2 linked regions of the Danio rerio genome follow. The protein of the gene in region 1 interacts with the protein of each later gene in a pairwise test. Links are inferred from orthologs where the notes say so. Each region holds a gene or a part of one and is shown in the gene's direction. Other genes may lie near its edges.

Evidence for each region.
Region 2: the proteins of junba (region 1) and batf interact in binary tests that used the Homo sapiens proteins (3 or more experiments, as listed by UniProt). The link is inferred for Danio rerio from reciprocal best matches to the Homo sapiens genes JUNB and BATF.

What each region holds. Positions count from the first base shown.
Region 1 is NC_133176.1:55,048,677-55,064,661, reverse strand, and holds junba (junB proto-oncogene, AP-1 transcription factor subunit a), read left to right. Parts: upstream 1-7,059; 5' UTR 7,060-7,163; exon of another isoform or gene 7,164-7,284; coding exon of another isoform or gene 7,285-7,386; coding exon 7,387-8,262; 3' UTR 8,263-8,611; downstream 8,612-15,985. Other genes in the region: prdx2 (peroxiredoxin-2), read right to left, coding at 12,039-12,121, 14,142-14,272, 14,971-15,093. UniProt on the Homo sapiens protein: Transcription factor involved in regulating gene activity following the primary growth factor response. Binds to the DNA sequence 5'-TGA[GC]TCA-3'.
Region 2 is NC_133195.1:49,917,479-49,934,430, forward strand, and holds the start of batf (basic leucine zipper transcriptional factor ATF-like), read left to right. Parts: upstream 1-9,376; 5' UTR 9,377-9,420; intron 9,421-14,720; 5' UTR 14,721-14,814; intron 14,815-16,952. Other genes in the region: si:ch211-153j24.3 (protein c-Fos), read left to right, coding at 252-359, 648-1,244. UniProt on the Homo sapiens protein: AP-1 family transcription factor that controls the differentiation of lineage-specific cells in the immune system: specifically mediates the differentiation of T-helper 17 cells (Th17), follicular T-helper cells (TfH), CD8(+) dendritic cells and class-switch recombination (CSR) in B-cells.

The sequences.
Region 1 (15,985 bases):
TGTTTACAATTTCTTTAGAAGCCTTAAAAACGGAAATGCGCTATTATTGGAAAGGGTGTTACATTAGTGACACATACTCAAGGTATTTGCCCAATCACAATGGTCGTGTAGCCAGAAGTTAACCAGCCAATCAAAACACTCTAAGCTTTTTAGAGGGAGGGGTTTAATCAGAGCATTTCAGACAGACTTAGAAAAGAGGTGCTGCAAAATGTGCCAAAAATCGAATACACAGTAAACAAAAACAACGTAGTTTAAAGAGGGCTTCAGAAGCCTTAACAACTAAAATGTGCTATTATTGGAAAGGGTGTTACATTTGTGACACATGCTTAAGCTATTTGCTTACAATCACACTGCTCTATGGCTTTAAGTCAACCAGCCAATTAGAACACTCCAAGCATTTAAGAAGGAGGGGCTTAATCAGAGCATTTCAGACAGACTTAGAAAAAGAGGTGCCGCAAAATGTGAAAGTTTATGCCTTTTTCAGTGTATTAAAGCATATTAACTTAATCAACACTCAGTAAACAAAAACAATGATATTTTAAAATTGCATCATGGCTTTCTGTCCAATGGCTGTGATTTCAACAGAAAAAAAATTGTAAAAATGCTACAGCTAAAAATCTAAATTTGGTTAACAGTAAGATACGGTGAACAGGGGCGGACTGGGACTGCATTTTTAACAGGGAAAAGTTATTGAACCATCAGGCCATCCGTGATCCATATGGCCAGGCCGTCCCTGACAGTGAATTACTGTAAATTGACTTTTACGAAATCCCTGCATGACACATAACTTTTTTTTTTTTTTTGACATGATGTTTATTTCAGTTTTTTAAGTTCCAACATTAAATACATTATAAACAAATAAAATACGGTAGTTTACCGTAAAAAGTTTTATGTTTTATTACATCAAATGTTGATAAATAATGTTTATTGCATTACTTTAGTCTAGTTTAGTACTCCAAAACATTGAATACATTATACATGAATGAAACACAGTAGTTTACCGTAAAAAGTTTTTAAGTTTAGTTGCATCTTATGTTGATAATGTTTAATACATTCATTTGGTCTAATTTAGTACTCCACAACACTGAATACATTATAAATTAATAAAATACAGTAGTTTACCGTAAACAGTTTTATGTTTAGTTACATCTTATGTTGATAAATAATGTTTAATATATTACTTTAGTCTAGTTTAGTACTCCAAAACATTAAATACATTGTAAAAAATAATTGAAATACAGTAGTTTACCGTAAAAAAAGGTTTATGTTTATTTATATCTTATGTTGATAAATAATGTTTTATTCATTACTTTAGTCTAGTTTAGTACTCCAAAACATTGAATACATTATAAATGAATGAATTACAGTAGTTTACCATAAAAGGTTTTATGCTTAGTCACATCTAGTGTTGATAAATAATGTTTATTACATTACTTGTTTAGTGCTCCAAAACATTAAATACATTATAAATGAATGAAATATGGTAGTTTATCGTAAAAAGTTTTGTTTTGTTACATCTAATGTTGATATATAATGTTTATTGCATTACTTCAGTCTAGTTTAGTACTTCAAAACATTGAATATATTATAAATGAATGAAATACAGTAGTTTACAGTAAACAGCAACCACAGCTGCCAGTGTGTTTTACCGTAAATGTATTTTTACAGTATACAGCAGAAGAGACATAAGTGTCGTCTTGACAGAACTCTGATTTATACCTGAATGTAGGTGAAAGGCTCTGCACTGCTGCTGAATGGCGAAACATTGGTTAGCACCTGGCTCCATGCCCAGCCAGTGATGATTCAGACTTATTATCATATTGAGGAGACAGTAGTGGCTTTCTTTTAGTGCTAAACAGGTGTTCAAATGTGGTCGCGCGAATATCTTCACGCACCAGAGATGTGAAGCTGCATTGTGTTCTGACCTGCTACAAACAATCGCTTTTTTCCTATATTATTAAAACTAAGGTTGAATGACAGCCATTGTGGGTTAGGTGAAAAACAACATACATAAAAGGTTATTTATAGTGGAAATGGGGATTCAGATGTTCAACACACTAAGAAATAAGTGTTTTTTTCTGATTATTAGAACTTTTTTTGTAGTCAGACAGTCTAATCATTAGATTGTTCATATTATTGTGGCATGAATTGTATTGAGAATGCCATTATGTGCATTGTCTGCAAATGTTTACAATGTACATGACTGATTTTTTTCATGTTTTAATCAATTGATTTTGTTTATAAACTCTGAAAATTGTAAATTGCAAGTTATGTTTTGAAGGGATATCTTTTGGTTTGGCTGTATAGAGGGTTGGGGGTTGTGCAGGGGAAAATGTGTTTTTTCCTGTATGCTTATACTTTAATTATTATATTTTTTATAAAGTTAATCAGGCACAAAAAGAAAGCAAGTGTTTTGTTTTGGTTTTTAAAGAACAATTTTCTTATATTATTTTTTTAGCATAACTTTTTATGCGATTTGTGATTTTTATTTGCAATTTATTATAGTGTGCTTGTATTCAGTCTAGTTTTCATGCATGTAAAGCACTTTTTTAAGATGCTACTTTTAAAAATATATTCATTTTAAACCTGTTTAATCACATTATTTATCTGTTTTTAATCACGTTAATGCTTTACATTTTTTCAGTTCTTATAATTATTGTATTTTATGGTTAATTTTTGTTTATCTAAAGCACTTTTAATTATTATCATGTAAAAATATGCTACATAAATTAACTTGCCTTATTTTAAAGGTGCTATATAAAACTATATTTTATTAATATATTATTAATAAAATTATTATTAATAATATATTATTACTATTATTTTTAACATTACTATCACTATTATTGCTTTTATTATGATCGTTGTTGCTATTATTATTATCAACATTATCATCACTAATATTGTTGTCATTATTATCTTTGTTGACATTATTGTTTATATTATTATTAGCATATTATTACTATTATTTTAATATTATTATCACTTTTATTGTTGTTATTCTTTTGTTGTTGCTAATATTATTATTATCATTTTCACTATTATTATTATTAATATATGATAACTGTTATTTTAATACTATTATTGCTATTATTGTTGTTGTTATTATTGTTGCTGTTATTATTATTAATATTATTTGTCTGTATTATTTGTCATTATTATTATTATTATTATTATTATTATTAATAGCACTATTATTAATGATATTATTTGTCGCTATTATTATTATTATTATTATTAATAGCACTATTATTATTAATATTATTTGTCATTATTAATATTATTAATAATAGCACTTTTATTTGTAATATTATTTGTCATTATTATTATTATTATTAATAGCAGTATTATTATTAATATTATTTATCATCATTATTATTATTATTATTATTATTATTAGCACTATTATTATTAATATTATTTGACACTATTATTATTATTAGCACTATTATTATTAATATTATTTTCAAAATACTTTTTGTTGTTAATATTAATATTATTAATATTATTTTCATTATTGTCAATAGTAGTAGTAATACCACTATATTATTATGGTCACTATTCTTATTATATCACTATAACTGTTATATTACTATATTATATATTTATATTATTAATATTTTTACCATTAATATTGTCACTATTATCATCCTCATCATCATCACTTTTATTATCAATAGTATCATTATAATTATTATCAAAATGATTCCAGCATCACTGAAAATCCCCCTTTATTTTTAAGAGTGCATGCATCAAGTTTGAGAGACCGGCACAACTACACTAACATGCAGTCTGCATTAATATGTCAGATGAAGAACAGATAAAGAACAAATGAAGAACGTGCTCTCTGAATCTCACACTCTTGCGCCAGAGTGTTGTGTACGTGCTGCTATCTATCAGCCTTCTCCCCTCCTCCAGCGCTCCATGTGCGGGGGCGTCGCCGCTGGAATCAGGCCCACATGGGAGAGGTTTCCCGGTCCTACACTAAGGAGGAACTACACTGCGGTTTGCCCATATATGGGACTCATATCAGTTGCCAAATCCTGAGTCAGATCATTCCAGATCAATGCAGAGTTATGTTTACAGGTTATACTTTAGAGTACAAATCTCTAGTGTAAAACATCAGCAGTTTCTTTTTTTATGTTTCTACATATTTAGCTTTTGAATTGCATTATGGGATCTTTCTTTCAACAACTTTTAGCCATAACAAGTGGCTTTATTAACATTTCTAATAGTTTAAAGTGATATATTGTCTGGGTTGGTGTTGTATATTGTGTTACAAAAACCTCGTAATAAACTGCCAGTACATTTTCTTTGATTTATTTCTCTCAATATATTATTTCTTATTCATTATATTATTTCAAACTACACTGTAAAACCCCAAAAGTTAAGGTAACTCAAACCATTTAAGGTAACCTATTGCAACAAACTTGAGTTCAAAAACTAATCCTAATGAGTACTGTGAACTTACTCCATTTGAGTAAACGAAGCAATTTGATCACAGTAAAACCCAATAAATGAAGAGAACTCAAACCAACTGAGTACTGCAAAACTCAATGAGTTAAGGCAACTCAAACCGTTTGAAGAAACTGATTGCTACAAACCATTTGAGTTAAAAAACAAATCAATATGAGCACTTTACTCCATTTAAGTTGAATTAATGAGGTATTTAATTAACTCATTACCTTCAACCCTGAGTTCAAAACTATTTTCAAATGAGTTCTCTGTTAAAATAGTTGGGTTAAAAATACCCCAACATATAAATCAACTATAGGTTATTATAGCACCTTCCCAACTATGGGCTATTTTAACCCAAAGCATTGGGTTATTTTAATTAAATGTTATTTTTTCCATTCTGCTATTACTATTGAAGTACTACTTTTATTTTCTAACTATGGCTGTGAAAATTAATGAATCTCTCCGCTGGGTCCCAAAGGCAAGAATGGCAGGTGAAACTGATATAAAAAACATGACACAGAGAGTAATTTGATAAAAAATAACAATATTATTATGTTACAGCTTAAACTTCACAACGCAAAAACAACATTACTTGCGCATATTAATACAGCTCTTCTGTGTCAGTTAAATCAGTTGACTGTGGAAATTCAAAATTTTAACCCAACTAGTTGAGTTATTATTAAATAATCTAATAAAGGTTCAAATATATCTTAACAAAACATCAAATATTTACCCAACTGATTGAGTTATTATTAAATAATCTAATAAAGGTTAAAAAATATCCCAACAAAACATCAAATATTTACCCAACTGATTGAGTTATTATTAAATAATCTAATAAAGGTTAAAAAATATCTCAACAAAACATCAAATATTTACCAAACTGGTTGAGTTATTATTAAATAATCTAATAAAGGTTAAAAAATATCTCAACAAAACATCAAATATTTACCAAACTGGTTGAGTTATTATTAAATAATCTAATAAAGGTTAAAAAATATCTCAACAAAACATCAAATATTTACCAAACTGGTTGAGTTATTATTAAATAATCTAATAAAGGTTAAAAAATATCTCAACAAAACATCAAATATTTACCAAACTGGTTGAGTTATTATATAATAACCTAATAAAGGTTAAACGTAACCCAACAAAACATCAAATATTTACCCAACTGGTTGAGTTATTATTAAATAACCAAATAAAGGGTAAAAATAACCCAACAAAGCACCAAATATGTTTAACTCAACCATTGGGTTTAAGAAATAACTAAACGTTAAGAACGTGTAGAGTTAACTTTCAGTGAATTTTGAGTTAACTCCACTCATTTCATTTGATAAAGTTGACAAAAATGTCAATAAAAGTCACTTTGTTCAACTGCAGAGTTTAATTTTCAACATTAAAAGTCGACAGAGCAGATATCAACATCCCATAATGCAATTCACACCTATAAATAAACAGAAAACACACATGTGAATCACTAAATACAGTAACTGTTCATTAACACATTTTTATTTACAGTGAATTCTATGAGAAGGATCTATTATTATTACTAGTCATGTTTTATGTGTTATATGACTCAGTACTTAAAAAGCAGTCCAATTCAAATAGCTGATAAGCCCTTGTATGAATCTGTATTAGATATTCTCTTAATTACTTTTATTTTTATATTACTCACTATAGCCTTTCCTAGCATGTTTAACAATAAAGCACATTAACGGGATAGTTCACCCACAAATTATATGTCTGTCATCATTTACTCACCTTTTACTTGCTTCAAAACTTTTATGTTGAACAATGAAGAAGATATTTTGAAGAAAGCTGAAAAAATCTAACGGTTAAGAAAAACAAACACAATGGAAGTCAATGGGTTTCCAGCATTCCTCAAAATATCTTCTTCAGTGTTCAACATATAAAGAAAGGTTTGAATCCAGTCAGTAAATGATGACAGAATTGTAACTCTTGGGTGAACTAACCCTTTAATAGAGCTTCTCTTGATCATTGACGAGATGATGTGGTAGCTCAGACACATTTAACTTGGGCTGAAATCCCCCAATCTCAATCCTGCAATCCTGTATTTACTTAAATGGCCAGTTTAGATGCTCCACCTAAATTAAAGGAATATATTTAGAGCTTGACATTTAAAATAAATTCCAATTTCGTTTATATTAAAGAGCTCCTCGTATATTCTGCTTCAGATCTACGGAGATCACAGTATTGTGTTGGAACCTTTTGTTTCCATTTCGACAAGAATGTTTATTATTATTATTCACACGACATCCTCTAACGTAGTGTTTTTCTCAAGAGACCACAGTAGTGTTTCTGTTTTCATGGCCATGGGAAACTTTTCTTAAAAGTGCCGAGCTATTGCGGCCAGTTTTTGCTTCTTGTCTGTGGAAACAAAAATAGGAGCGCAGCGCTCGGTCTCCCTTTGCTCTCTCGCCTCCAGCGTTGTTTTCAATCTCAGCGCTTACTGGCAACAACGTCATCAACCCATCTGACAGCTCGAGGAGCGGAACGAACTCTCGTCCAATCAGCGGCCGCGATTATCTCAGCCACGCCCTCAGCATTTGGAGTATATAAGAATGAAGGCGCACTTATCATGATACTGAATGCGCGACGGGCCAGAAGAGCTGTTTGTAAATAACCGTCTGGGAAGACACTTTTTGGACGTCAGCTGTCGAGAGAAAACACCTGTCGAATTGGTACAGTAAACTATTTTGGAAGTTTCTTCTTTTTTTGCTCTCTTTTGCCTGATGTAATATAACGGAGAGAACTTGCGGACTTTAGTCAGCTTCAGTACGTCCCAACGTAATCTCTGTTCACATGTCAACAAAAATGGAGCAACCGTTTTATGACGACTCGTTTCTTTCTGCTTATGGTCATCCAGACGCTGCCCTGCACGACTACAAGCTCCTAAAGCAGAACATGAGCGTGAGCTTCGCCGAACCCTACCGGAACCTCAAGACCCTCCGCTCCGAAAGCGACTTCTACACGGCGGCGACCGGAGACGTGGGCTCGCTGAAACTCGCCTCTCCGGAGCTAGAGAGACTCATCATCCAGAACGGTAACGGCGTCATCACATCACCCACGCCGGGGCAGTATTTGTACGGTCGGAGCATCACAGAGGAGCAAGAGGGCTTCGCGGACGGATTCGTCAAAGCGCTGGACGAGCTCCACAAAATGAACCAAATGCCCCCGCCGAACGTGTCCATCGGAGCCCCCGGGGTGTCGAGTTGTTCGGTGGCGTCGTCAGTCTTCGGCGCCTCCTTACCGCCCGAGACTCCGGTGTACACCACCCTGAACAGCTGCAATCCTAACACTAACCTCACACCTGCAGCCAACTACCCGACAGCCACCATCAGCTACCTGCCTCACCATCACCACCACCAGCAGTACCACCACCATCACCACCAGCCCACGCCGCATCCTCATCACTTCCAGCACTCGCTCCATCCGCAGCGGCTCGTTACTCTGAAAGAGGAGCCACAGACCGTCCCCGACCTGCAGAGCAGCGATGGTTCTCCTCCCATGTCGCCCATCGACATGGAGGACCAGGAGCGCATCAAAGCGGAGCGCAAGAGGCTCCGGAACCGACTGGCGGCCACCAAGTGCCGGCGACGGAAGCTGGAGCGCATCTCCCGGCTGGAGGACAAAGTGAAAGTGCTCAAGTCGGATAACGCCGGACTGTCCAGCACTGCGTCCCTGCTGAGGGAGCAGGTAGCTCAGCTTAAGCAGAAGGTCATGACCCATGTGAGCAGCGGGTGCCAGCTGATGCTGACGCCGAAGATCAAGTCGTTTTAGGGGGGAGAGGGATGCTACGGACTCTGGGAAACACTGGAAGAGCAGATCCTGTTTGTGATGATGTTATTGTCGCAGCACTGAGTACGAGCGTTGTATATTTCTTAAGTGTTTTCTTGTAGAAAACTTTAATGTTATTGTTGTTTTCCAAAGATAAGGTACTTTCAGCCGAACGGACAATGGACTAAACTTTTGAAGTGAACAGTTTTGGTTTTGTTGTTAAGTGCTGCCCTTTGAAAACATTCCAGTAAGTTATTGATATTGTGAGTCAGGTTGAGCCAGACCTTTAACTGTTTTTCTGTTTGTTTGTTTTTGTTTATTTTTTATATTTAAGTAAAAATGTTGAAAATGATTCTACTGTTTGGGTTGTTTATTTCAAGCGTAGAGCAGAAACAAAGTTTATTCTGTAGCCTACGGCTTTAAAGTTACGTCGAAGACGTGCCCACGTTGGCTTTTTTTTTCCTGCTGACGCAAGGCCCATATATGGGCAGTTTTGGTCTATGTACGTCACTAAGGGTAGATTTCGGGAACCCCCGCCCACGCTACCGGTCAGGAAGTCCGCGCGCTTTCAACTCTGACGTTCGATGAATGGAGCGCGTGTGAACGAGAGAAAATTTAGCAACGCGGGATTTTCCCCGCGCGCACAAACCTTCCCAAAACAGTTTCAGCGAAAAGAAAACTAGAGATAAAAATATGAGCACGGGCATTTTCCAGGTACTTTGCAGAAAACGGAGCCGTCGCAAGCACAAAAATAGACAAACAGATCTCAGTAAATATAAGAGCAAGGCTTATAAACGAGAAGTGCCCACAGTGACTCCTTTATCAGCTATTTCCCGAAAACACACAGGCGGTAGATTAGCCGAACTGGCCATTAAAAACGCCAACCCTTTATTAAAATGTTAAATTCATTTGAATAATTCCTAAAATACTTAGATTTTAGGTGACAAAAAGAGGGTTATTTGTCCATTATGCTAATTACACCTTTCAGATGTTGAATGAATGGTTGTTTCGAGCCTCCTCACAGACTATAAACACACATCTACACTGAATTGTGCCGTAGAAAGTTCACTTAGCTACTTCAAATGTTTTCGCAGCGATGCAGTGTTAGAAATCTCTTCTTAAAAGAAGGCATCTTGCCTATTATATTTTCTTTTACAAAATCATCTGGAAAAGTACCCTATTCCACAATAAAGATCAATCTAAAAGTTTCTAGATTATAAAATAGCCTTTCATTTTAAAGAGCCAAGTCAACATTTTAAACCCAGGAATTTTTACTGGCAACATATGAAGTTAATAATTAACATTTTTAGCATATTTTTTAGTTTTGTAGTGGTCATTTTTGTCACCATAGTCTGAAACCAAGCTAATACACGTTATAAACATTTAGATTTTTAAATAAGGTAAAGCAAAGGGACAAGACAGACAAGAAAATGAGTGAATGAATAAGGTAAAGCTTGAGATGACAGGATAATAACACGGCACACTTTATATTATAATATCTGTTATATTTAAAAAAAAAAAAAAAAAAGTATAACATTTTATTAAGGCAGAATTTACCTTTTTCATGGACACAGAAATGAGCCCTGGCCTTTAAATAATAAGAAAACACGGGGATGTTGTAAACAAAATTACAGATTTAAGCAATAAAGACAATTCTAGGAGATTAACTAAATTACTATTTATGTCTGAGCTGGTTTAAAATTCAGTGTAAAATAACCACAGAATTTACGAATCACTTGTTTAAGCAAGTACACATTCACTCAGTCCTGAACACGAGATTTGCCAAATATTTATTAAAATTGTTTTGGGTTTATGTAGAAAAGTGATTCCTGCTTCATTACAGCTGAATCAATGAGGACTCCAGAGCTGTAACTCTGTCCTAACTATAATGAAACACTGCCACCTGCAGGGCAGATTTGTTAATATTCTGTTAATTTTGACTTCCACCAAAAATATTGTAATGTCATTATCAGAGAAAATACGTTTGACTTCGCCTGCTACCTTTAATCTTAATAACTTTATATTCTTAAACAAGCATTTTAATCAGGGTGTGAATCATTTAGGCCTATGTTCGATAGCGTATTACACGCTTCAGTGAATCAAATGTCTGTTTTATATATTTATATAATAATATATGTTTTATATATTCATTTTAATTACGTATATTTTAATAATAAAACATAAGTCTTCAGTGTTTTAAAGGATATTTAGCGTATTCTAACTTATAGTGACTCGATTAGTCGTTTCAGGGGTTACTTTAGGTCAATCTATATAACTCAATTGACTTTAGTTTTAAGTTATATACAGACACAAACATATATTCTACTTAAAACAAGTGTCTTTTAAACACTTACGATGTCTGTAGCTGCTGAAGACCTGCCAGTTTCAGACTATCGTCGAGTGAATGTTTTTTCCTCACAGAGTGTTTGGCGCGCTTGCCTTCACAATGGTATGAACCGTTATAGGGGTGGTAAAATGTATATTTATACTATTAATTGAATTATAATATTATATAAGATACTATGGAGGGAGAAAGGGAGAAACCTGCAAAAACAATAAAATAAAAAATAAATAGCAAATTAACTAAATAATAAATCCACAAATTCCTGCATAAATAAAACAATAAATCAATAAATATGCAAATTTATCCCAAAGTCCTGCCTAAATAAAACACTAGCCAAATAAATAAGTAAATAAATTAATAAATTCCTGCATAAACAAAGCAATAAATTAATAAATATCCAAAAAATAACTTAATGTATATAAAACACAAATTCCTGCATAAATAATTGTTTAAATAGTACAGGCAGATTAAAAATAAATTACACAGATGTTGGGGGAATAAGAAAATGCTTAACTGAACGTGGATTTCTCCCCCTTTCAAACTACTATTAATTATGCACAAATTTGTAGATTTTATACATTTAATTGTGTATTTATTTAATGTTTTATTTATGCAAGAATAAATATTTGTTTGCGTAGGTATTTATTTATTGTTTTATTTATGCAGGAATGTGTATGTATTTATTTATTCATTTATTTGCATATTTCTTTATTGTTTTGCAGGTTTTGTTCTCCATACCCACACTATTATTCATTTCAATATTTATTTATGCAACATTTTTAAAAAAAATTTTAAAATACACTCATTTGGATATTTATTTAAGGTTTTATTTATGCAAGAATTTATTGATTTATTTACTCATTTAATTTTTGCCTATTTATTAAATTTGTTTTCGCAGGTTTAGTTTCATGAATTATCATGCAATTTCATGATATGCATTTATCTCTCAAATTCTGTTCCATCTATTATAATTCTAATATTAAAACATGAAGAAAACACTACTGTGTCCTTCTGCATTTAAAATTCGGTTTACCATGCCATTACCATACCTTCTAAACTAATTAAATGTTTAATTTGAGGTCAACCATCCATTAAGTAGCAAGCACAATAAGACAACTGCAACATTCAGCAATAACAGCCTGTTTATTTAACAGAGATATTGACAAAATCACCAGAATGCCAACAACTTGAGAGAATTTAAAACCAGCTATGTTCACAGAGTACCAAATATGCAATGCAGACTAACTAGCTGAACACAAACTACAGATATTTCAGTGCATGAGAGACGCGGGCTGAAACGGCTTCTTCAGACAGAAATCAGACTAACTAGTGCATTTAACCTGTGTTTGTTACGATGGCTAAATCAACTTTTCTAGACCCCCTCAGGCTGAATTTAAGTGCTTCAACAGCCCAGTGAATGCAGAAATAGAGACTGTTACTGCTTGGAGAAAAACTCCTTGCTCTTCTGCACGTCGGGAACGATGGTGTCACTTCCTGGCTTCCATCCAGCAGGACAAACTAAAGGAGAAAGCATAAGAAGTTATAATAAGTGATTTTGGCGCCCTCTTGTGTCATGCATAAAGTATTACATCAGTTACAGTTCAAAAAGTAGGGAGTCTTTAAGATTTCTACTGTTCTTTAAATATTTGTATAATGTTCACAAAGCTGAACTTACGAATATTAAATGCAAAAAAAAACTTTCATACTTCAATTAAAAATAACTGATTTCTATTCAAATGTTTTAAACTTATTTCTGTCTCGCAAAGCAGGATTTTCAGCATCATTGTCGTCTTCACAGTCACATGATCATTGAAGAAAAACTAGCACCGATAGCAATTTTCTTGGATGATTCAGATTCCCAATTTTTTTTTTAAATATACAAAAAAAAAAAAATTCTGAAAAAAAAAACAACAGAAATATAAAAATCTGACAAGACTCCAAGTTAAATTTTGCATGAACCAGAGGAATTAAGATGTTAATTCAAATAATGCGAGATGAAATGAACAAATTCTTGACGTATTGAGCATTACAGTCATGTGACCAGTCAGCTGTCTCCATTATGCTTTGTTTACTTTTGGTTGCTAGGTTACCAATACCACAGTTGGCCACTTTAACAACCTGATAGTGCTTAACCCAGTTTACTGACAAATTAAAAGTCCTTCCGCATATACGCCATTAAATAGAAGACCAGCCGGTCATCGTTTAGGCCGATCATGAGGAAATGTCAGCTGATTACAATCCCTGGCCAGTCAAGAGAAAAAAAAACCTGATTCATATAACGCACATTAGTCGCACTTTTGGAGTCACAAAGGTGCATGTGCAGGCAACTTTTTCACTTCATAAGACCTCAATGCATGGTCAGCAGTCAGAGGTGTTCATTATGTTTTGCCTGTATGCATTTTTTTTTACTCTAAAAGTGGTGGTTGATGCTGACCTGCATTTAATGAAACCAGCAAGAACCACAATTGCATTTAAAAATCTTCTTTAAAATGTTCTGAGATAAAAAAAAGGTGGAGGGGAGAGAAAACCTAGATGGAATGACTATAAAAAAATATTAAAATCATTTGTTTTCATTTTTATAGGTTACTTTCTTCTAAATCACACAAAAATATCAGATTTCAAGTCAAACTTGTAGACGGTAATCTTACTAAAGACGTTGGCTTAAGTTTTGCACAAATAAAGGCTTGACACCCCTATTTCAGATACATTGTGTTTCACAATTTAACTTTTATGTTGCCTTCAGGATGCGTTGATGTTTACACAACAAATACAACATGCTTAGAATGATCTGGAAACATGTTTGACCCCATTTACACAAAGATCACCCGAGACAGACATTAGAGGACATTAAAGGCTCATTTATACTTCTGCGTCAGGCGCAGGCGTATGGTCCCTTGCCATGGCTGACGTGTACCTCTCAAAAAATGTATTGACGCGTAGCGCAAGCTCTGTGATTGGTCAGCTTGGTTGCGGCGAGCTCCCTGGAGAAAGTAAAACCGCTCGCACTTTTAGACAGCCTCATAAAACAAAAACAAAAAACAGGACAAGGCAGATTTTGTTCTCGGCTTTGTGGCTGTTCATCAAGATGATGAAGGTTAGTTTGAGCTTAGGTCAACCATGGGTTGTTATTATATGCATATAGTATTACGATGTAATGTCTCAGCTGTGCATTTAAAAATGGCGGTTTCTTTGTTTTCATTCTTCTGTTTGTGTATGCACGAGTGACATTTCTCTGTATATCAATAGCATTCAGTTGCGCGTTTAGCTCAGTCTTTTGGTACCTTTTTGTTGTGCTTGGGTACTCTTTGCAAACGGTGCTCAAAAAGTGGTACAATACAGTTCGCTTGTAGGTACCTTTTGACAGTGGAAACAGCCATAAAAGTGTACCGAACTAAACCGTACTGTAACACTCAGTGGAAACAGGCCATTATAGTACAACAGCGAGCACGTTAAGTATAAAAGCCTTCACAGTTCTTGGCTGTGCCAGAAGTATAAAAGTATAAATCAGCCTTAAGAAAGAGAGTGTGTTTTCTCTCACCTTCTCCGTATTTGTCGGTGTGCTGGAAGGCCTGCACCAGTCGAAGAGTCTCGTCCACAGATCGACCCACCGGCAGGTCATTGATGGTGATCTGCCTCAAGATGCCCTTATCGTCAATCACAAACAGACCTCTGTGGGAGCAGGAAAACACAAAGAACACTTACTCTTAATGCAGGAATTTGGTTGAGCATTCAAGTTACATTTTAAAAACACATGAGGTCCAATGCAAGGTAAACACCAAACAAATTAAAGCATAATGTTAACTGCTACATAAGAGTTAACACTGATCATTTCTTATTACATTGTCTACATTTGAGCATAAATAATGTGCCATTAGGTGGACATTTTTTAAAATAAAATAATAATAAAAATAAATAAATGCTAAATGCGTTTATAAACGGTTACATTTTCATTTGATCTGATTTCACGTTATTCGAACAAAAAGCATGACCATTAATAAACCTAAACCTATCTATCTAAATATCCCAGGTGCATTAATTCAACACACAATTCATATGTTTCCCTTGTGGTTTGTGTATCCACCTCCCCCAGCAGTGCACGTGGACACTAGAGCACACTTGACCATGAAAAGAACACTATACACACATTGCAGAATCACTATAGTAGTCAACCCTATACATAACACCTTAACTTTCTGAGTTCAAATGCATTATAATAACATGCACCTTTTGTAAAGCTGCTTAATAAGTGCTATAAAAAGAAGCTTGAATTGAATGGAATCATAAAATCCTGCTGCAATGATGCACTGAAAGAGAAAGAGCCTGTAATTTAACTGAAGCAGAGCAAATGTCATCATAAAATCACAAACCTGTAGGCGATGCCCTCGTCCTCCTTCAGGACTCCGTAATCACGGGAGATAGACTGTGTCAGGTCGGCCACCAGCGGGATGTTCATGGAGCCAAGGCCACCCTGCTTCCGTGGTGTGTTGATCCTGTCAGGAGCAAAAGCAGAAGTTTGGTTTTTTATTTATTGCCACTTGAGCAACTTCTGGCTATTTCATGGCAAGATCAATACATTTATTCATTCATTTTCTTTTCGGCATAATCCCTTTATTAATCCGGGGTCGCCACAGCAGAATGAACCGCCAAGATCAAAGTACATAAAAGCATTACATCAGAACAACTTCATATTTAAAAACATGTCACGTCATCGCAGGAAAAGAGGAGATCCAATGAGAACTGACATGAAAAGGTTTTGCATTTACTCGATTACAAATTAGAGAATAACTTCATAAATAAATTATAATTAATGATAATATAATAATAAATTTTGTATGCACTTATCTTTATTAAAATGGGAATCTCAATGCTTTCTCAATAAAAGTGATCTAAATTCAAGTAGTAGCTCCTAGAACAAGTTTAGCTTTTATTATTAACCAACAAAACCACATATCTAATATTGTATTATATGCTATTTCTAATTCCTTTTATTTATATTATATATTAGGGACACGACGGTTCTCGTATCGTACCGCATCATCTCGTTGTTCGTCCATGGTCCAGTGCATCCTGTAATCCGCGGTTCAGAATATGAATTACGAGTGTCAACACAAATTATTGGAAGCTTTATTAATGATAATAAAAGCTATTAATACAACTAATAAAGCCACTTAAATATATTATTATTATATTTAAGATTTTTTTTAATTAGTTTTAGTGAAAATGCTAAAAAAAAAAAAAAGAAAAAAAAAAAGAAAAGGTCAGCATGATTTATAGTAAGAGTTTCTAGAACAAATAAAGTGCTACACCCTTCCTTTATCTGTGTCTCTCTAACTCACTATAGTAGCCCTTATCAGTGACAGGCTGGTCAGAAGAACACTAGAT
Region 2 (16,952 bases), on another chromosome or scaffold:
ATCAGTGTGTGGACTTAAAAATACGAAACTTCATTAGTGTGGAAAAATTAAGCTGACAACCCAATTTCTTTGGGTTGCTACGGGTTAAATATTGTTTTAAAGTAACTGACAGATATTTTTGCCTTTAAATTAGCTGCATTTTTAAATTGATGTAATTATCAATATTTTCCTGTTTTGAAAACTTATTCTGGAAATTTTAAAGTAGGCAAAGCAGCATTTTCTTCCCAATGTGGTGTATTTCTTTATTTCAGCTTTCTCCAGAGGAAGAGGAAAGAAAAAGAATCAGAAGGGAAAGAAATAAACTCGCAGCTGCCAAGTGTCGAAATCGTAGGCGAGATCTAACCAACAGCCTGCAAGCTGTAAGTGTACAAAAAGATAATCAGCAATTTCCTCCATCATAAAAGAAAACTTTGTGCATGACACGAAACTTAATAGTATATATTAGTATTATAGAATTGTACTATATAATTGTCATTGTATATACTGATGAAGTCAAAAATATTCGCCCTCCTGTGAAATTATTTGTCAATTATTTCCCAAAAAAATTTTTTTTCACAGTATTTCCTATAATATTTTGGGAATGTACAGAGCGGCTAATAATTCTGACTTCAACTGTATATATTAATCCACAATCCTTATCTGTCCAGGAAACCGACGGTCTGGAAGAAGACAAAGCGGCTCTGCAGTCTGAGATCGCCAGCCTGCTGAAGGAAAAAGAGCGACTGGAGCTCATCCTTTCAGCTCACAAACCACACTGTAAACTCACAGAGGAGACGGAGAATGAGGAACCAGCTCCAGCCCAGGAGGAGAAGACTCAAGCTGCCAGTGTGCCAGAGCAGGTGCCCGCCTCGCCCCCGCAGGCCGATCCCACCAGCGCTGCCATCTTCGGGGACTCAGACGTCCTGCTGTGCTCCAGTGCTGAACTGGGCGCTGCCGAGGTGGAGCCGTACATCGACATGAGGGATGTGTGCATGGAAGATATCAGCAGTGTTATAGACAGCGGCGATGACATGGATCTGTTAGTGCCGGATATCGACCTGAGCAGCTCTCTGGGTCTCAGCGAATGGGAAACGCTGTATATGTCGATGGGCGGCGGGCTGGAGCCTCTGAGCTCGCCCACATGCAGCCCCAGCACCGATGCTGTGCCCGTCTTCAACTTTACTGACGCAGATGCTGAGGATCATGATACCGGTAAAGAAGAGGGAAAATCAAACGCAGCCAAAGAAATGATGACGACTTTATGAAGGGTTCTGGAAAGCCACAGTGTAAAAATATAGATCTGTTAATTAGCAGTTTCCATATGTTGTGATTCAATTCAGTTCGTCTTTAATTATTTCTATAGCGCTTTAACAGTGTAGATTGTGTCAAAGCAGCTTACGAAGTTCAAGTAAATTTAAACTGCTCCAGTCCAGTTTTCAGAGTTCAGCTTAGCTCAGTTCAGTGTGGTTTAATTTCCACTGCTGAACACCAAAACACTGAAGAGCAAATCCATCGATGTCCACAAGTCCCAAAACAAGCAAGCCAGTGGTGACAAACATACTTCACCAATTTACGAAAGTGAAGGAAAAAAAACCTTGAGCAAAAACAGGCTTAGTTTGGTGCTCAATCAGTTCTCCTCAGGCCAGACTTCTTGTGCAGGGGTGCGTTTCCGAAAACCATCGTTAACCAACTAATGTCACAAGTTCCGTAGTTACAAACAGAGTTCGTTGATTTGCTGTTTTCCAAATTTATCGTTCCCAAAAACATTCGCAAACTACAGCTGCGTCCCTATATACACTATACACTATGCACTATGCACTTATGCACTTACACACTCAACAGGATAGTACATGTATGTAGTGTTGTCCCAAATGGCACACTAATGTGTTTTTACTAAACGGAAATTCAAACCGTTTCTCTGATGACGTTTGATGGTCGCCAAATCAGTGAAATAAACGACTGAATTATCAAATAATACCTGCCGTGAGTATAACCGCATTCACCATCGGGAGGTGCTATAATCACTCTCGTAGGAGAATTTTGCTTTCAACATCCAAAATAAATAAAGTTATCCAACATGTGCGTCCGATAGCTCCGCCCCTTCCGCTACGTGAGCAAACCTGCGGTCGTTGAGTGCGTGAAGTTTCCATCATTACACACTTCATTTTAGCGGCTAAATGAGTGCATCATCCGCGTAATTAAAGTGCTCTTATTATTTTTTAAGTTTTCAGTGTCAACGCACTACTTACACTATATATTTATACTACAAAATGGCGTAGAATAGTGCATAAGTATGCGATTTGGGACGCAGCTTACGTCAAAATCACGTTTGTTAAACACTGGAAACTACAACTCTGGCTGTGTTGTATTTCCACTTATTCCCCCTGTGCCCTATTCGTTTAGAACATTCTAACATTTATAGTTGGAATTATTAAAACAAACAAACATTAAAGTCATCTCTCTTAGGTGTAATTTGCTTTCAAAGTATTTTTACAGTTCAGTTTTAGCAATCTTCATGTTTACAATTGCGCTTGCGCCGCAGTGCACTTTGAAAACATTAGAACACGGCCGTGGCCAATGACGAAAGCTATAGATGACCTATTATTCATTCATTCATTTTCTTGTCGGCTTAGCCCCTTTATTAATCCGGGGTCGCCACAGCGGAATTAACTGCCAACTTATCCAGCAAGTTTTTACGCAGCGGATGCCCTTCCAGCCGCAACCCATCTCTGGGAAACATCCACACACACATTCACACACACTACGGACAATTTAGCCTACCCAATTTACCTGTAGCACATGTCTTTGGACTGTGGGGGAAACCGGAGCACCCGGAGGAAACCCACACGAACGCAGGGAGAACATGCAAACTCCACACAAACGCCAACTGAGCCAAGGCTCGAACCAGCGAACAAGCGACCTTCTTGATGGAGGCGACAGCACTACCTAATGCGCCACTGCTTCGCCCTGACCTATTATTTAAAAGCGGAATTTAGGCTATGTTACGTCTCCGAAGCTTTTAAAAACAAAAAACATATCACACGGTAATGCTTTTAATTTATAGTCGGTTGTTTATTAAGTATCTGTACTGTATATGACATGGGCCTGTTGGTTAGGACATTTCTGCGGTGGTTTGCAAGTGTCAAAGTGTAAAAGTAGACTTTTCTTAAAATAAAAAATAATATAAATAAACAATATCCTACTTAATAATAATAACCATCATCATAATCATTAATATCATTAATATTATTATTAAAGTAGGATTTTTTTTATTTTCTAATAAATAATAAATATTAAATTTCATTTCTTAAAAAATAGTCTGATTATATGATTTGTATATGAGATTAGAATATGTGTTTGCTTTTGTACGTGATTTTATGTTATAGAATAGAATATGTAATATTCTCAATAATATCTGTTAAGAAACACAGGCCCTATATCTGCCTTTTACATATATTTCAGTTAATACGGAAAGCGAGTGCATGTTTTTACCCAAAAAAATATTGGATTTTTTTTTCAAATGTGTGTAAAACTATATAATTTGCGCAAATTAATGATGTGGTTCTTCTCTAAAGTAGTTGTTACCCCCCCGTTTAGAGCATCTTTATGGGCGTTTTACAACTAACATGGTTCAAACAATAGATCTGCGACAGAGAGACTACGAGTTTTGGGAAACACTCGTCACTACGTCGATCTTTTCCCAAACGATGCATCGTTGCATGCATGGTTCAGCCGCATGGTTCAGCCGCGAGTTACGTCAGTGTTTGGGAAACCCACCCCAGAGTTTCAGTCTAGGTGCTAGACTCCTGGGCAGTCTAGGAGAAGCTGCATATCAAATGATGGTTTTTTGATGGTTGAAAAGTCAACTCTACAGTTAATCAAAGAGACTTTTATTGACATTTTTGTCACTTGAAATAATATAAAGTATATATAGAGAAATAAAATAACAGAAAATGTAATGGCAGTATATTACAAGGCTTTTGTAGAGTAAGACACAACACCAACCCAGACTATATATATTATATCACTTTTATACTCTTAAAAATGTTAATAAAAGTCACTTTTTAAGGGTAAAAGTTGTTGGAAGAAAGGTCAAGGTCCTGTAATGCAATTCAAAAGCATACATAAATGGGGAAAAATAAAAACGCGAATCGCAAAATATAGAAAGCTGCTAATTTACTGATATTTTTTACTGTGCACTCCTTAAAGGAACACTTCACTTTATAGTATCAAGTAGGCTAATTTTACAAGTCTCCAAGAGTTAAACGGATGAGTTTTACCAATTTTTAAAATGCATTCAGGCAATCTATGAGTCTAACAGGAGCACTTTTAGATTAGCTTAGCATAGATCATTGAATCGGATTAGACCATTAGCATCTCACTCAAAATATTTAAAAAAGAGTTTTGATAATTCTCCCATATTTAAAGCTTGACTCCTCTGTTGTTGCATCATGTGCTGAGACTTACAGAAAATGAAAAGTTGCAGTTTCTAGGCTGATATGGCCAGGAACTATACGTTCATTCAGCGTAATAATCAACCCAGGTAGCAAAGAATTCTGGCCCAGATTTGGCATAAAGCTGGCACAGCAGGCATTTATTCGGCACTGGCATACAGCATGTGGTGCCAAACAGGTGGCACCGTCTTTAAGATGGCACACAAGACTTGGGTTAGATGTAAAATGTAGTATTTGGTCCAGATGTTCAAAATGTATATGTGGGCCAAATAAGTTTGGCCTATCTTCACCCACTTTTAAAATGCATTTAAATTATGTTTGAATAAAGAAGAAATTCTGGCTATCAGGTCGCTTCAAGAAAAAGCAGGTCCATAGCACAAATGCTTCATAAGTTTCTCAAATTCATTGCAGTCGTGACACCAACATATCTGGTCTAGTTCAGGTCCAGTTATGGGTTGTTAACTTGGCTAAGACTTGGCCCAGATATGGTCCAAATTTGGCTCTTGTATGGAAGCCAGACTTGGTCCAGTCATGTATCATAATTCACTGCGGCATGTGGGCCAAGCAAAAACTGATTGTGTGGGCCAGATCTGGGCCAGAGAAGTTTTGCTATGTGGGAAGGTGGCTGCAGCAGGAGCAGTGATAATACACAGAGCCTGATAATATTCAATAGCATTCAAAAAGGGTAAAACTCATTTCTTTAACTCTAGGTTAGTTGTAAAATGAGTCTATTTCCAAAAGAAAGTGGAGTGTTTCAATAAAATGAAGGTTCTAAAATAGGGTTTTATTGGCATCTTTAATGATCCTTTACATTCATTGAACCTTTCCAATGCATGGAAAGTTCTTTGAATTATTAAGTTGTTCCTCACTCTAAGAAATAAATGGTTGTTTTGAGCACTAAAATGTTTTCTGGAGGGGGAAAATGGTTCTTCAGTTGCATCACTGCAAAACAAAAAAAATATGATTAAGAGCCCAGAAGAACACATTAGGTTTCCCATAAACAAACTGGTAGAATATTTTACTCTTGAATATACTTACTGGCATTGATGTTTCCATGAAGGATTTTTAATAAAAAAAAGTAAAGTTATTTTTAGGATTGAATAACCATAATTGGATCCACGCAGAAGCTTTCTGTTAAAATTGTTCTTAAAGTCAGCTGAGACTTTAGTTTCAGTGTGCTGATGTACTAACAGACAGAACACTGAGCAGGGGCGGGGCTTTTTTATGCACGATTCCTTTTTACAGGGTTTCTGCAGGGTCCTAAAAAGCCTTAAACTCGCTGAAATTATGTCTTGTAGGTCTTAAATCCTTTTAAACAAGTCTTAATTTTCATCTGTCCATGCCTCCAATCACCAACAATCCATCTCAAAAAAACCTTCGACCGAACTCTATATACAATTGTTTGTTTTTTTTGAAGAAGAAAGTTATGTTTAAAACAAGTGTGCATGGATACAACTAGCATTTGCTTGTTTTGAAACATTATTTAAAATATGTGGCTAAGAAATAACTAATTAAATATATATATATATATATATATATATATATATATATATATATATATATATATATATATATATATATATATATATATATATATATATTTGGATGAGGCTAGTAAACCTCGTTTTCACAACCAACTGGAAAAAGTCCTTAGTGTTCAGCCCTATATAAGTCTGAAATTCCCTTTATATCTCAGACTTAGATTAAATATACCAAAACAAACATGGCTTTTTCAGGCGTCACGGTGGTGCAGTGGGTAGCATAATCACCTCACAGCAAGAAGGTCCCTGGTTTGAGCCCGGCTGGGCCAGTTAGCATTTCTGTGTAGAGTTTGCATTTTCTCCCCATTTTGGGGTGGGTTTTCTCCGGATATTCCGGTTTCCCCCACAGTCCAAAAACATGCGCTACAGGTGAATACAATTAACTCAATTGGCTGTAGTGTATGTGTGTGAAAGAGTGTGTGTTGGTGTTTCCTAGTAAAACAAAATTTGTTTCCTGTAAAACAAATGCTGGATAAGTTGGCGGTTCATTCCAATGGGGCGAACCCTGATGAAAAAAGAGGCTAAGCTGAAGAAAAAATAATAAACATTGCTTTTTCAGTTGCAATTGCACTAACTTGCATTACCTAAAGCATAACAATGTGGGCTAGCAAGATAAACGCTGCAAAAAAAAATTCAATTCCAATTCATGTTTGTTTATAGAGCTTTTACGATGTAGATTGTGTCATAGCTTACCATAGAAGTTCTAGTAAATTGAGTCCAGTTTTCAGAGCTGAAGTTCAGTTCAGTGTGGTTTAATTTTCACTGTTGAAAGTCCAAACACTGAAGAGCAAATCCATCAATGCGCAGCTCCACAATTCCTAAACCATGCAAGCCAGTGGCGACAGCGGCGAGGAGCAAACTTCACCAATTGACAAAAGTGAATGAAAAAAAACCTTGAGAGAAACTCAGTTGGGCACGACTATTTCTCCTCTGGCCAAACTTCTTGTGCAGAGCTGCAGGCTAGGCGCCGAGACTAAATAACACAGACTTTATAAGAAGCATTTTTCTTAGTGTGTAAATAATCTAAATAACATAATTTAATTATAAAGAAAGTTTGTGTGGAATGAAAATCTGCATGAATGATAATTGTTCTTCATGGAACCATCAATACCAATAAATGAAGTTTCATAAACTAATTTCGAGAGGAGCACGTGATACGATTGACTGCAGCCGGCCACTCATCTACGCTCATTAGCTAGCCAATCAGAACGATCCAAACTCACTATAAATAACCTAGCTAAGATGTACACCCCTATCTTCGTTTTCCGAAGAAACCCCCCATCCACCCCTTCTCCTCCTTTCCTCTTTTGCCGAGGGGAGCTCTCGAGAACACCTGACCTCGTACTCCCCTCACATGCTTTATGGACCTAGCGGGAGCCCTGGGCTCAACTATCTCCGAGCTCAGGGTTCTCACCCGGGACAGCATGCCAAACCTGCTAACTTGCTAATAAGTTGTCAAACAGTATCTAAGTGTGAACTCTTGAAATATCCTACTGATACTCGTAAGTGTGCGGAAACAGTCCAATGCACACAGAAGGTTCTTTCAATTATCAGAACGTTCTCAACACTACGTGATAAACGGTTGTTTTTTAGAAGAGCACACGAATATTCTCTGGGCGGAAACAGCTCTTCCGTGGCATCGCTTCAAAATAAAAGAAAATATTTTTAAAAGCAATGAATACTCTTTTGGTTTCCCCCGAAGCAAAAGTGTTTGGTCCTCCATTTTATTCCTGGTGTGAGGAATAATTTACACATGATAAAGCTTCTCTGATGGCATTGAAGGGGTGGCATGGTGGCTCAGTGGTTAGCACTGTCGCCTCACAGCAAGAAGGTCACTTGTTAGAGTCCTGACTGAGCCAGTTGACGTTTCTGTGTGGAGTTTGCATGTTCTCCCAGTGTTGGCGTGGGTTTCCTCCAGGTGCTCTGGTTTCCTCCACAGTCCAAACACATTCGCTATTGGGGAATTTAAGTAACTAAATTGGCCGTAGTGTAAGAGTGTGTGTGTGTGTGCATGTGAGAGTGTATGGGTGCCTCCCAGTACTAGCTCTGCTGGAAGCTAGCTCTCTGCAACTCTCACATGGTCGCCATGAAAGCTATATAAGCAGGGCTGTACCTGGATGGAAGACCACATGGGAAAGCTAGGTCCATCATGAGCACCAGAGCACCAGGAGGAAACTCGCATCAACACATGGAGAACATGCAAACTCCACACAGAAATAATGAGAAACTCAAACCAGCGACCTTCTTGCTGTTAGGCGACAGTGCTAACCATTGAGCCACCGTGCTGTCACAATGAAAATTAATGGTTCTTAATCACAGAAGGTACTTAATACTGTAAACAAATAGTTAAAGTGTTCTTCACATTAAGAATAAATGTTCACCGGAATATTTGTAGTGGATTTGTGAGTGATCATCCCTGAGGAAACAGCTCTCTTATGGAATCTTTGTATGATCCAAAGAACATTTTCCACATTGTGCGTGCAATACAAAGGTCCACGGGTGTTGTGGGTTCTTTGGTGCCACAAATGCCAATAAAGAACCTCTATTTTATAGATGAAATATTCTAAAGAATGGTGTGAAATACAACAAAAAATCATTTCATAAATGAGTCTGACATGTTCAACACATGTCTAATATAGTGGAAATATAGTGAATGCTGTGCAGTAGATGTACTGTGACCCTACATCCAGTGAAGTCACTGTTTGTTTCTTCCAGTTTGTTGGCATTGTTGAATATGTTGTCCATCTCTGTGAAAGACATGCTTTCATGCACTTTTGTACCAAGAGGTACGTGTAACTGTATCAGTTGATGTGTTGATGTACAGTGCGGTCCGTTACACAGTGTCCAAGTGTGTGACTTACTGTTTTTACATATTCTTTATTAAAATTACAATGTAATATTGACCATGGTGGCAAAAAAATCATGCATATTTTATGTTTTTGCTCTTCCTGCTTCCTTTTCTGTGGTCTGGCATGTTTATAATAAACAGAGAATACATATTAAATAGGAAATGTGTCTGTCTGTCTTTGTTTTCAATCTCCTCTCTGAAGCCCCTCAAATAATGCAATGCAAATGAATGCATCGTTTCTAAACAGCAACATACATAACCCTCATGTCTAGAATGTGCACTATAATTTTATCACAGAGTATCGAGATCCATGTATTTTTGAAGGTTTCTGTGTTTTCACCCACATAGATTCGATGATACCGAGGCTGCTGTCATGATCGGAACGTTCTCAGTACGCAGAAACGTACAGCGCCTGACGTCAGTGCGTATTTGCGCGCCACACATTTTTTTTCCCTGTCGTTCGCTTGCACTTCCGTGTCCATATATGGTGATCTTGGGGAACGTGCTGTTGTGTCTCTATGGGAACAGCAGAGTCGTGTTTCAGCTGAACTGCAGTTTTCCCGGAAGATCAGTCGAGAGGAGCGGAGAGGAGCTCTCGGTAGGTTACGGGAATTGCTTTGTGCTCCCAAACCTTTTGCAGAAATTTATGTACAAACCCAGCGCACATTTAAAGCGTTCATATATAACAAAGGACAGTCTGTTTTATAAAATGGCCACGCGGTTTTTAATAATATGGCTGAATTGTTTGGCTAAAGCCCTCGTGCACACAATCACACTGAATCACTGCTAAACACCTCGCAGTCTGGTCTAAAACCTAAAACTACTTGTCGTTTGTGTTTATTTAGCTGATGTAGCATCCTTAAAAGCTCACGAAAACGCTTTATTTCGTTAAATTCCAGTATACTATTTGCTTTTTTAGCTATTACAAGCACAATTTGTGTGGAAAAGTTGCACTAATAACTATTATAGTTAACAAATATAATATTCGGTTTCTGTAATATTTGGTGACCTAGAAGTCAGTATAATAGGCTAGTCATATCTTATTTTATTTGGTTAAATGTTTAGAACACACACAGACACAATGCATTTATATATATATATATATATATATATATATATATATATATATATATATATATATATATATATATATATATATATCAATTTAATTAATTTTCTTTTAAAAATCTTTGTATTTGCTCTATGCTATCCTAATTGCTACAATGATCAGGCATTTTGAGTTGTGTAAATTACAATAAAATCTAAATCTTTAATAAACAGCAGTTAAGGTAAAACACTTTCTTATGCAGCACTGAGCCATAAATCTCCATTTCAGAAGCACTAACAACTAACAGTTTGATTCCTATACTTTTTATCCCTTATGTGCTGTTGGGGATGTTTTCATCCACTCTGGGGTGATTTTGTGTCTGAATTTGCCCATGAGCTTTCTCTGTTTCAGCAAATGGAATCAATTTTTTGGTGACATTTTATTTTGACATTTTGAAAAATAGATTTGAATAATAAAAAAAAAACCTCACCAATACACTCTGAGCAAATTGACTACCCTTTTATGTTAGGGATGAAAACATCCACTGAATTAAACTGCTGTGAAAATGCATCAGATAAATATTTATTTGAATTTTTGGAATCTTTCAACCTCAGTCCTAAACAAAACTAAATTATTCAGAAAATTTCAGGATTTTAACTCTTTATTCGACAAGTTCACAAACGATGTCACTGATTTGCTGAAAAAAAACACACACACACACAAAATGACGCATTTTCAATATAAGAATTGTTGACTGGGTTTTTAAACCTTTTATCAGAGTCTCGGACATGTGAACGATTAGTAACAGCATTGTCTTTGATTGATTTTTATTTTTCCCTAGTTTACTGTTGGTGACTGTTTTTCCCCCATTGACTTCCATTATAACCGTTTTTGTTGATAACAAAAACAAGACACCATATAATCCTGCATTTCTGATTGTTTGTGGTTAAATAAGTAATTTTTACTTTTGATCCTCAGTTGGCAGCGTTAAACCTTTAGATAGGCTTTTAGAAAGCATAGTTTTCGGATTTTATATAGAGTATAACAGCAAATTAAAGTGTGTGTCTGCGAGTGTGTGAGAGTGACCTTTACGCACTTACTTTGATGTGTCTGAGAAAATTAAAATGTGCATCTCGGCTCTAAGAACTACATGGGGTAAATAAAAACAAAGACTGTGCATTTATGCACCATCAAATGTGGTTAATGGAAGTCAATAGGGCAAAAACAGCCACCAACAGTAAATTAGAGAGAAAAAATGAAAATCTAATAATGTCTCAGCCAATGTTGTTCTTAATTGTTCACATGTCCAAGACTGATAATTTATTTTTTTTTAAATCCAGTCTACAATTACTCTTTATATTGAAAATGCGCCATTTTGTGTTTGTTTTTTCACCGGAAACAGTGCATCATTTATGAATTTGGCAAGTACAGAGTTAACATCCTGTAATTTTCAAAACAGTTTAGTCGTTTTGATCAGGACTGAGGTTGATTAACAGAATTATGCAAAAAAAAAAAAAGAATTATGAATTTTAAAATCTTATGCATTTTACAGCAGTTTAATTCAGTGGATGCTTTCATCCCTAACATAACAAAAGTGTAGAACATTGGAACAGTGCACAAGGGTTAAACAATGATTTGTTAATGCTTAATTTGGCTGATTATATGCAACATTTTATTCTACAGAAATGTATATTTATTTATTTGGCCATCAAAGAGAATAAAATAAGTAATAAAAAGAGATTGCTAAAATAAACTTTGTAAAAGCCTAGAAAAAAAAAAACAAGAATTTAAAACGTAAAGTCATTTCGTCCAAAATTTTTTGCTAGGAATGCATGCAAATTATTATTATTAATGCATGCATATTTAAACATTTTATCATTTAAAAATATATGCAGTTCTTTATTTAATCAATCAACTGTGCAAATACAATGACTTTAGTAGTCTTTCTTTACTTCATTTCAGTCTCACTTTTATATGCTTTTTATTTATATAAAAGCACTGAATCCCAATCATTTAATACCGATTACCAACATTGGATGTTGCGATTTTTAATTTACAAATTCAGAATCCAGCCAATTGCAAATAAACAAAGTTTTAGGATCCTGCAATAATGACTTATTTGTCAATATATCCACCAAACTGAACTCTTTTACTGTTCTCAGATAATCATCAACAATTTCCCTCATCCTTTTCTATAATCGCTCGTATGCAAAGATTAAAAAATAGTATTAAAATCTAATTTGAGCAGAATGAAATCTTTTGCTGCAAGTGAATTGTGTTTTTTCCTTCGTAAGCGCCTCAATATCAGTGTCTTGGCACACACACACACAATATCAACCTTTTCTTTAGCGCACTTTATTAAATGCACAGTGGTAAAAGGGGAAATAAAATGAGTATCCTGATAGACAGACAGTGTATGTGTATAGTCCGTCTGTTCAGGTTCATCTTTTTTGATTAGTCAGCATGTGCCAGTGTTGATGATTCAGCCGGCCCAAGTAAAGTTCTGCCCAGGACATCCTCTTTTTGCCATGATTCAGGTTGCAGTTTTTTTTTTATTTAGCATATAGTGATGTCTGTATAGGCTTCCGGATGTCTGGTGTTGAACCTGACTGTTTAAATCCAGAAGCCATTGATTCTTATCGTCCTATAGCGTCGATTAAATAAAGTTTCCATTTCTTTAATGCAGACAAATACAACAACCATACAAAGACATCATGAACCCACCTTTAAACTAAAATACCTTTCAATAGTTTATAAATTTGTATCCATTAACTTTATGTATTGTTCAAATTGACTACCCTTTCATTGCGTTCGTGCCCCACTGACTTCCATTATAACCACATTTTTGATTGCAAAGCCTTGACAGCATATAATTATACATACTTCATTATACATGCTTCTTTGTTGGGCAGAGGGTAAATTTGTCATTGTTACTGTTGATCATCAGTTGGCAGCATTAACCCTTTAGATAGGCCTTTGCAAAACAGTTTCTGGCTTTTAAATTGAGTTCTTTGAAGTGTAAAACAGAAGTAAAACAGCGAATTATAGTGTGTGTGTCTGTTTGTGTACGCATAAATACACTTACTATGTTTTCTGTGTTCTGAGTGCTGAGCTGCTTATTTAGATTTTTTTACAGACGTATCAAGGTAAGTGCACAAACGTCCTTTATATATACACACACACACACTGTCCTCCATATATCTCCAAAGCCAGAACCTAAGCTTTTTTTTTTAGCACTGCATCCGATGATAAACAGTAATAAATACACATCGTACACTACTTGACAAAAGTCTTGTCGTCTATGCCAGCTGTAAGAGCAACAAATAATAACTCGACTTCTAGTTGATCATTTAGAAAAGTGTCAGAAGGTCGATTTTTCTGATGGATCATCTGTTGAACTGGATCTCAATCATCACAACTACTGCAGAAGACCTACTGGAACTCAAAGATTCTCACAGAAATCAGTCAAGTTTGGTTTGGAAAATTCATGGTTTGGGGCTACATTCAGTATGGGGGCATGCAAGAGATCTGCAGAGTGGACGGCAACATCAACAGCCTGAGGTATCAAGACATTTGTGCTGCTCATTACATTACAAACCACAGGAGAGGGCAAATTCTCCAGCAGGATAGCGCTCCTTCTCATACTTCAGCCTCCACATCAAAGTTCCTGAAAGCAAAGAAGGTCAAAGTGCTCCAGGATTGGCCAGCCCAGTCACCAGTTATGAACATTATTGAGCATGTCTGGGGTAAGATGGAGGCGTCATTGAAGATGAATTCAAAGTATCTTGATGAACTCTGGGAGTCCTGCAAGAACGCTTTCTTTGCCATTCCAGAAGACTTTATTAATCAGTGATTTGAGCCATTCAGAGATGTATGGATGCAGTCCTCCAAGCTCATGGGAGTCACACAATATTCATTATTTCTCCACTGCAGCATGACTTTATATTCTATACTAGACATTATTTCTGTTAAGTGACAAGACTTTTGTCTATGCAAAGTCAGCCCTTACTGTCCTAATTAAATCAGTAAAAATCAAGGCATGATCATATTTTATTTTGGTAAAATAAGCACAATTTAGACGACTTTGACTTTTGATATAAGCCACTTCTGATACCAGATGATCAACTAGATGGCAAGTTATTATTTGTTGTTCTTAAAACTTGAATAGGCAACAAGACTTTTGTCAGGTAGTGTACCTCTTGCCAACAGGAAAAACCACCAACAATCATAAATACAGTATTATATGGTGTCATGGCTTTGCAATCAAATATGTGATTATAATGAAAGTCAATGGGGCAAAAACAGCCCCGAACATAATGAAAGGGTAGTCAATTTGCCCAGGGTGTATTGCACAAAGGTGTATTGTATTTTGTTTAAAGCATTTTCCCAAAATGCTTAAACACAGTGAAAGTTGTGGCCAAATTAAGACTCAAAATCACTTCAGAGTGGATGAAAACATCCCCAACACAAGGTTTAAAACTTCTACTGCAGCATCAGTCCTGCTAAAGTGTCTAAATAGTGCATAAATAAATCATAATTCCTTCATGTTCATTGTGCATTTTTCTTTCCGGATGCATCATATTTCCAGAATGGGAAATGGGTTTTTGTTTGGAACAATGTCTGGTTGGTAAAGAAGAAACGTGTATCATTATCTTGAGTTTATTAATATTTTTCTGGAATGCAGAAGTGTTGGGTTCAGGATTTTGAATGTGAACGTTCTGCCATTGAAGGAGGAACGAGTTCATTATTAATAAGTCATTTTTGCTTTTAGAAAGCTTCTTCTTTTGTGCTGCACATCTTTAAAAATAGCCACGCACTGATGTTGACATGTATGATGTTTAATTGTCCAGGTCTGTGCTGAATCCTGATGACTCCCCTGATGATGCGGTGTTGCTGGCCGACAGTAAATGTGGAAGAGGAAGTGTGTGTGTCTGTGTGTAAGAGGTGAGACACAGAGGTGATTGTGTCTGCGGTTTGTCTGTGCATTTCAGTGGATGCCAGATTATCCAGGATTTGGGTTATTGGTGGAATAAATATGCACTATAAATATTTTAAACGTTTTTTGTTTGTTTGTTTGCAGCAATGCCATAGAATCCAAATATTATATTATTCCGAATATTCCAAAGAATATTTTAAGATTTCTTTCTTAAGCCCTGAACTGTTTATTTAATTGCATTATGGTGACCATGGACCACAAAACAAGTCATGAGGGTGATTTATGAATTATTCTTAAATAAGCTTTTCACTGATGTATGGTTTGTTAGGATAGGGCAATATCAACCATTGAAAATCTGGAGTCTGATGGTTCAAATAAATCAAAGCAGTGAGGAAAGATTTAGTTTTTAGCAATACGTAGCAATAAAAGTGACAATTTTGACTCAAAAAATTGTGTTGTTGGCCATTCCTGCAAACATACCTGTACAACTTAATACTTTTTGTGTGGTTTTGTAGTCACTGTATTATTTTATTCATCTATACCTGAATTATCGTGACTGTATTTCTTATGCATATATCATTTTCAAGTGTGAACTCAAAACGTGAACAATTAAAATTATTGTTATGCAGATTTGTTTTCCCATTAACAAAACACAAACATACTCACCGGCCACTTTATTAGGTACACCTGTCCAACTGCTCTCTAAAGCAAATTTCTAATCAGCCAATCACATGGCAGCACCTCAATGGATTTAGGCATGTAGAGACGGTCAAGACGATTTGCTGCAGTTCAAACTGATCATCAGAATGGAGAAGAAAGGTGATTTAAGTGACTTTGAATGTGGCATAGTTTGGTAATGCCAGACAGGCTGTAGGGTTTGTGTATTGTTGACTATGTCCATCCCTAATGACCACAGTGTACCCATCTTCTGATGGCTACTTCCAGCAGGATAATGTGCCATGTCACAAAGCGTGAATCATCTCAGTCTGGTTTCTTGAACATGACAATGATCACCAGATCTCAGTCCAATAGAGCCCCTTTGGGATGTGGTGGAACGGGAGATTCGCATCATGGATGTGCAGCCGACAAATCTGCAGCAACTGTGTGATGGTATCATGTCAATATGGAGCAAAATCTAACAAATATTTATAGTACCTTGTTAAATCTATGCCACGAAGGATAAAGGCGGTTCTGAAGGCAAAAGGGGATCCAACCCGGTAATAGTAATAAAGTGGCAGATTAATGTAAAGTGGAAAGCAAAAGAAAACAATATTGTAATTTTCAAGGTTCATGCTTATTCCTGTTTAATATGTTTACAAACTATTTTATAAGTTCTCTGAACAGGATTAAAATAGCAGTTTTTGTTGTGTATGTTGAATTAGTTACATTCTAAAGTAGTTTTTCTCTCAGTAATAGAAAAAGTGAGTGAAACCTTTTGCCTTAATTAAAAATACAGTGTATTTACTTATAATTTTAATGTAAAATTAAAAGTATAAATGCACATATGTCTATAATTATAATGATTAAATTAAGTTAACTTAACAGGTTTACTAACTTTTTTAAGTAAAGTCAGCTTTTCACTTTTAAGGCAACTGGTTTACTTATTATTTTTACTGTGAAGTGAGTAATAACTGTTTACAGTGTTTTTACAAATACCAGCACAGGCCTTTAGAGGTCATGTCAGAATTTACCAGTATTTTGGAATGGATGTGTGAATGCTGCTTCTCCAGGGGAAATTAGGGAATGTTTCTGCCTGTGTGAACTATTCATTTTATCAAAACAGAAAGAATCAAAAGGCCAGACTAACATTTGCTGAGGAGCATGTTTTGTGGACATAAAACTGGGCAAGAGATCACTTCAAAGATGAGAGCAAACATATATTTCAGTGCAATGAGAAACATTATGTTCATTGTCAACCTGAATGAAAGTGTGTGCAGAGGCCAGTAAAGGTGAAGGAGGTGAAGTGTCTCGGTCTGGTGGTGTTTTCTGTTATAAAGCTCAAATGTGTTTTCACTCAAATGCTGCTTGTTCTACATACCTTTTTGGGCACAACTTAAATGTTTTATGTTCAATCCACTTAAATTTGTACAAACAATTAACTTGATTGATTTGTGTTTGGACAACATGATTGTGTGGAAGCCAGCAT